2 linked regions of the Drosophila melanogaster genome follow. The protein of the gene in region 1 interacts with the protein of each later gene in a pairwise test. Each region holds a gene or a part of one and is shown on either strand. Other genes may lie near its edges.

Region 1 (3,614 bases):
GTCACTGCTGGCAAGTTTGGAGCCATTCACCTGCTCACGGCCAAAACAAATGAGCTGCTGCACAGCTTCAAGCAGGAGGGCAAAGTGAAGGGATTCACATGGTCTAGTGACTCCAAGAGGATCCTCGTCTGCGGTTCCACTTCCAATGTCAGCGTGCTGAACCTGCGCCAGAACCTCATCGAGCACATCTTCATGGACGACGGCTGTATACATGGAGAGTCCATTCAACTGTCTCCCAACCAACGCCTACTGGCCACCGGCAGTCAAGAGGGCGTGGTCAACATCTACGACTACGAGAGCATTTTCGCATCCAAGGCCCCACAACCCGAGAAGCGCTTCATGAACCTACGGACTGCCATCACGGATCTCCAGTTCAATCACTCATCTGAGCTACTGGCGATGTGCTCCAGTGAGGCGCCGAATGCTTTTAAGCTGGCCCATTTCCCCAGCGCCACTGTGTACTCCAATTTCCCGGCACAGAACGAGAAGGTTGGCTTTGTGACCTCCATGGCCTTTTCGCCGCACAGCAGCTTCCTGGCCTTTGCCACTAAGGGCAAACAGGTGCCGCTCTTTAGGCTTAAGTACTTCAAGGGTTATTAATTGAAGGCAGTATGATGTTTACAATAAATTCTTAAATAAAATCATTACTCTTTCTGTGGTTACAATGGAACCATCTTTATTTAAGTTAACAAATTAAGGGGACTTATCTTTAGAAAGGAGCTCGGAAAATATCGCGTTTCTGGGAGTCTTGAATCTTGCCAATGTCTTCCAGCTTCTTGCTGATGTTCGTCGACTGCGATTCGATCCACTGCAACGAATTCATATGGGCATTAAGGATTTTTCCGATCTGTATGATGGGATCAGTGGTGTCCTGGCCCTTGTTGGCCTCGTTCAAGTTGTCTATTATCTCCTTTAGATCCTCGGACATCTGCTTCAGTTGTGTGTCCAGATTCTCCACCATCAGGTAGGTTTGGCTGCGTTCCATGTCCACCCTCGGGAGATTAACGAATTCCTTCTCAAGCGGTCCCAGGCTGTCCTCAAGCTCTTTTTGCTGCGTGGCTATAAACTCCAGCTCCTGGTCCAGCACTTGCTGATCGGTTTTCACTTTTTTCACGGCATCGTTGAGCTCGACGATCTTCCCGTTGTTGCTGATGAGCAGTTTGTCCCATGCGTTGATCTGAGTGGCCTGTTCGGTGAATACCTTTTCCTGTTCCTCGAACTCGAGAGTCCACTTGTTGATATGCTCCTCAAGTTGGTGGTAGGACAATTGGGATGCCGTGGAAACGGCCGATGAGTCTGTGGTCTTGGTTTCGGTAGTGAGATTGGCAAAAGCACCACCAGTACTTAAAGTTGGGGCCGGTGCAGCTCCCTGCGTGGAGGCTATGGCCGACGGAGCTGCAGTCAGAGTTGTGGACGCAGCGGCCGTGGTCTTGGGAGCTCCCAATCCAGACCCGCCCAGCAATCCAGTTGTGGTAGCTGCGGTGTTGGGTGCACTGGTTGCTATAGTTGGCACCACAGATGCCGCTGGTTGAGCCGTAAAGCCTCCGAAGGCGGGAGGAGCAGCAGAGGTTCCAGTCGCGGTCGCAGAAGTGGTGGACGCTGGATTTGCGGCGGCTTGAGTGCCCAGCGTGAGGGGAGCTGAAGCAGTCCCGGATCCCAGGCCAAATCCAAAGGCTGGTGGAGCCTGCGCCTTGCTGTTGTCTGCATCTCCGCCACCGATACCAGCAGTAGGTGCCGGTGTTCCGAAAGAGAATGTGGTTTTTGTGGCGGGAGCCGTGGTTGCTGCTCCTGAAGCTGGTGCTGCGGCTGGTGTTCCTGTGCTGAGGCCGAAGGAAAACGACGATGTTGCGCCTCCGGTCGGGGCGGCGGTTGTTGTTGGCAACTGGAATACCATGCTTAAACTTAAGACGAATAATATAAATCTAAATCAAACGAAACACGCCAAAAGCAACCAGTGTGACCCCTCCTTGGAGTTCCGCAATGTTGTCGGTGTTGGAAATCAACTAAATTTGAGCTCAAGCTAGCTATTTTCAAGCCAAAACACTTAGCAGTTTGAAGATTGGGCGGCAAAATTAAATTTTAAATTTCTTTGAATTGGCAATACAAATGAAGTACTTTGCTCAGTCGACGATACATTTTTGTTACTAAAACATGCTGAAAACCAAAACATTTATATTATTTTAACGTTTGCAATCACTTTTTGCACTTTTAAAATATATTTATGTCTGTGTCCGTTTTTTTAACCAGCGATCAACTAACTTGCGAAATCGACAAACAACACTGGTCGAGAGCTATGTTTTAGCTCCAGTTTTAGTCGTACATGGAACAAATCATTCCGCGCAACTTAAATAAAAAAACCAACTCAGAAAGAAAACGTAGTCAATCGTACAAACAAAATCAATAACAAAACACCGGCTTTAATTAGTCATCTTTTGCTATCTGTAAGTGCAAAGGCGATAAGGTAACATTTGGGTCAAAAGAATTCAATTACAAGCCCAAAGTGCAGCGGCACTCAGTTCAGTAATTGCATTTTGCTAAATCAGCTAAACACATGTGTGCTTCCTATCAGAAGGTTCGTTCTGCGTACCTGTGTAGGTTCTCTTCAGAGCTGCCAGCCACAAAATTAGAAAAATTACCTAAGGTACAAACGTAATGCGGTACAACAATTAGAGCTTGTCTTTGACCTTCGGTTTTTTTTTTTTTTGTAATAAGATTCTTTTTAAGATTTTCATAAGATCTGAGATCTGATCCTCAAAAACAGAAATTTTAAATTATTCTTAAAAACCAGATCAAAATTTTCTAATAAAAGACCATAGTTCCTATGTTTTGTTAGTACATGTTTTCCCATCACTAGTACCGTGCTCTAGTCTACTATGCTTCCAACTATTTCCCCAACTTTGTTGACCAGTGTAGCTGGCAAGCAGCGCCAGAATTGAACAACAAAAGCATATCAGAATCAAAAGCCCCTGTTCTCGGTCTCTCCTCGATTTTCTCTATTTGCTCCCTGTGATCGCTGTGAACTTGGCGTGATAAGGGGCTCCGGCTCCTCCTGCAATCGAGAAAGCCCGCTGTTTGCGCCACCCGGCGAACACCAATCAGTCGATGGGAGTACTCCGCTGCAATAGCAATTAGCCACTAACCTTCTGTCAGCTCTTCAGGTGCCATTCCCCTACCTCCAGCTCCTCAGGTGCCCCTGCCAAACAGAGTTATCTGGAGTGCCGCCCGCTGGAGAATATAAATTCCCTGGGTGCCCAAAGGCCAGGATTCAGTCGGTGCCACTAGCTCGCCATGTACGGAACGTGGGGCGTCTTTCTGGGCGGGATTCTTCTGCTGCAGGTTCTGCAATTATCCATGGGCCTCGATAATGGCCTGGCACTAAAGTGAGTATTAAATTTTGATTGGATTCTAGGCCACTTAATTGAAATTCTGTCGATTTTAGGCCACCTATGGGCTGGATGTCCTGGGAGCGGTAAGAAATATTTACCAGCAACTAGATTAGATCATAAAGAATTATCATTACGTCTAACATTTAAAATAAATAAACTTTAATAGTTAGTAAAAATTAGGCCTTGGCATGAACTCTACACGCTACGCTGCAATAACGCTTTTGTTTA
Region 2 (3,460 bases), on another chromosome or scaffold:
TTATACGGCACAAGAGCGATACGCGAAACCTTTAAGTTGCATTTAATGTACTATCATTTATATTATTGTAGTGGCGTTCCCCATTGGACTACCTTCAAGCGAGCCTAAGAAAAGAACTCTGGCTGCCGCCTCCACAATTCTATGAACTTTCGCGCTGCCTAAACTTCTCCTCTTTAGATAACCTGCGTCAGTTTGCAGCAGAGCGTGAGGTCAAAGGCATTCAGCTGATTCATCCTGTAGTGCACAAGTGTACAAATGGATTAGTGCATCTCTTGCCAGGAGATGATGCTTACCCCGCCGATCCGGATGCAAGTAACGAAAAAATTGAGATCGATTTGTCAGTCGAGGAATTCCGTTCGAAGACGAATGCTAAATTACATCGATCGGAGCACTGGAACCAGCATCAGTCGCAGCTGATAATTAAGTTTGAGCGGGATGATGGTCAGGTTCATCCATTGGATCCAACAAAATTATAGAGGTAGAGCCGGTTTCCTCTATGTCAGGTGCATTTATCTAGTTTTATAAGTTTTCCAACAATTGATATATAAAGTTGGACATAACACTTTTTAGCAATATACAACTTATAAAGTTCGATTTCCTCCATTTACTCTTGTTTATTACATTGTGTTACAGAACGGTTTAATATACAATTATATAAGATAGATAGAATCGACATGCTGGGATTTGATATAGGAAATCAAGCAATTTCTGAATATGGCATAAAACATCTATCTTCAGTTTTCGTATTAATGCTACTGGCCCTTTCCATACCAAAGTTTGTATAGGTATTCAGCCTCTTCTTGGGATGCATAGACGTTCTCGTATCCTTGATTGCCCTCTGGTTTTGGCCTTAAAATGAAAAGAGTGGTTTTAGTGTGCACCCAGAAGTAGGGCATACAAACTTACTTGTAAATTGGTGCGTGTTCCGGGTGAGTCCAGATCTCGTGGGGCTTCTGGTGTGACGGATTTTTGTGCTTGCAGCCATCCAGCGTCCTTTCAATGTTCTTCTGATTGTTCAGTAGGGCAGCCAGTTTATGATCGACCTGTGAGGTGGCCACCTGCACTCCATGGACAGTGTGCTCGATGCTGTTGAGGCTCTCGGACTGAGTGCGGTTGAGAATGACCAGACCCCACTCCAATTGATTGACTTTGCGATTGGCACGATCTGCCAGAGCCTTAAGTTCGCCCAGATATCCCACTTGACCCACGATGTTGCGCTGCTGCTCCTGGAGGACCTTCGCTTTATTGTCCAAGCCGATGAGTTCCCCTATGACGGCCTGTGATAGCAGCTGCTGAATCTCCGACAGATGCGAGTTGACGGATGAGGCCACTTCATTTAGGTTCTGCTCGTATTTGTTCTGATTGGCAGCCACTTGTTCCAGGGCTTTCCTGATTTCTAGCTCCACTTTGGTAAGATTCCTAATAGAGTTTTCATTCTGACCCTGGATTGCGTTAACAATGGCTGTCAAATTTCCCACTCCAGAGGCCGTGGCTTGGAAGCTGCTTTGAACGTTCGATTCCAGCTTGGCTATGGCAACCTCCAATCCAGCAATGAGTTCGATCTCGTCGCGCTGATGCTTGAACTTCTCTTCAATGCCCTTCTGCACGTCCTTCACTTTCTGCAGCCCATGGTTTAGCTCCTCCGTACCTTTGATCAGCTCCTCCACCTCACTGCGGATCTCATGGATGGAGTCCAGATCCTCAGCTGCAGCCGCGCATAGGTAAATGCATATCGTTAGCAAAGTCAGTCGCACTCTCATGGTGTTTCTCTGATGGCCGCTCCCCGCTGAGTGTCTCTTTTCGATCCGAACCGCAACTTAAGTAGCCCAACTTAAGGTCCAAAACGTGTCTTAGACTGGGTTAAGTTCTATCAGTTCGGTCACCACCCACTTCTCTTCAGCGGGTGCAGGTGCAAATGCTGCTCCAATCTGTAATAGTGTGTTTACGAGAATTTCCCTACTACTAAGAAGATAGTCGCGAACAACTGTTTTATCATCTTGTAAAAAGAAAGAACTAAAGCGAATTATGTTGCATGTAGTCGTACTAAATAGTTATTGGTTCATCGACATCTTGGTAAAGTTAGGGAAAATCCGTGTAGTGTCACGTTTCAAAATTCTTCTTTGTTTCTAAACAGAACAGATTGACCCGGTTTTTTGTGTGCTACGGTAGTAATAACACCACTGAAAAACGTGCCCCAGCTGCTTCTTGTTCAAATTCATTCAGAAAATAGGTCTTCGAAGGTAATGATAACGTAACAAATGTTTTCGGGCATACTGTCTATCGTTTACAAGAAATAAAGTAATAAAGCGAACTAAAGTAATTTTGTAAAAGTTTAATAAGTCTATATTTTGTTTCCTATTTCGAAAACAGCAGTATAATTAATTATCCTTCATATTATCATGCCTATTCAAAAATTGGCCAAGATGCCTTTTGCAAATTTAAACAAACTTGGATCCTTTACTATTAACTTTTAAAAAAGCTTAAAATATTTTTAAAATTTGCTTCTATCAACAAACAATAGCATAGGTTAATAGTAAGGTGAATTTATTTACCTACAAAACATACAAAATAACAAAAATTTCTTCGTATATTTTGAATAGATTTTGAGAAAAGTTTTTGGAAATTGAATGTATATTTTCGCATACGATGCTAAAAGTTGATGCATATGATTTCCATGAAACTATAGCATTTTTTCTCAAAAGTTATTTATTAATTACTTGCTAGGAATATAATCAAAAATGTATTTCCTTTGCTTTTTTTTTATTTATTTATAAAACATAAAAATTGTACAAAGTAATGAATCTGAATTAAAAAAAAAGAGTTTGTTAAATGCTTTGAAAAGTTGTATCAGTTTCAGTAACAGTGGTAGTCCCAGTTAAATCTTCCTTTAGTATCCTTGGGGGAGGGAACTGTCTCCATACCAAATCCTGAAGGATTCTCCTGGCTGGATGGGCTGTGGCTTGTAGATCTCCTCATTGTAAGACTGTGGCTCGTGGTGGGGCTTATGAGGTTGCTCGTGGTTAGGTTTGGGACTGTAATCCACAGGAAGCTTGTAGGATTCAGGCTGGTCATGTGGCAAAGGAACATAGGATGCCGGAGTAGGGTGCTCTTTCTTGGGGCACGGCTTGGGCTTGGTAACGGAGGTGGGAACGTGGGCCGGAGCTGGGTTCCATGGCTGATGGTGGTGAACTGGAGCGGACTGGTATGGGGATCCGTACTCCCACGGCACCGTCTGCCGCCAGGACACGGCGCTGGAGCTCTGATAGTTCTTCTTTGGCTCGGGGGACTGGGCATAGGCGGTAGCTTTGTGGTTTCCAGAGTGCTCTCCTATGAACGACAAGCCATTAATTTGTGATCCTAATCTGGTGGCAATAAGGACCACTTACCGTGCTTGGGCTCCTCCTTGATGCTCCACACCTGTTCCAGATCCACTTGCTTGGGCTTAGGATGAGCATGCTGC

The links.
Region 2: the proteins of Nup62 (region 1) and CG13083 interact in a two-hybrid assay, tested with the Drosophila melanogaster proteins (one large-scale study listed by BioGRID).

What each region holds. Positions count from the first base shown.
Region 1 is NT_033778.4:16,342,861-16,346,474, reverse strand, and holds Nup62 (nucleoporin 62kD), read right to left. Parts: upstream 2,099-3,614; 5' UTR 1,895-2,098; coding exon 710-1,894; 3' UTR 647-709; downstream 1-646. Other genes in the region: wcd (wicked), read left to right, coding at 1-600; CG7997 (uncharacterized protein), read left to right, coding at 3,289-3,380, 3,440-3,469. UniProt on the Drosophila melanogaster protein: Essential component of the nuclear pore complex. The N-terminal is probably involved in nucleocytoplasmic transport.
Region 2 is NT_033779.5:19,485,824-19,489,283, reverse strand, and holds CG13083 (uncharacterized protein), read right to left. Parts: upstream 1,795-3,460; 5' UTR 1,761-1,794; coding exon 907-1,760; intron 850-906; coding exon 753-849; 3' UTR 593-752; downstream 1-592. Other genes in the region: CG10194 (uncharacterized protein), read left to right, coding at 72-476; CG13084 (uncharacterized protein), read right to left, coding at 2,888-3,327, 3,387-3,460.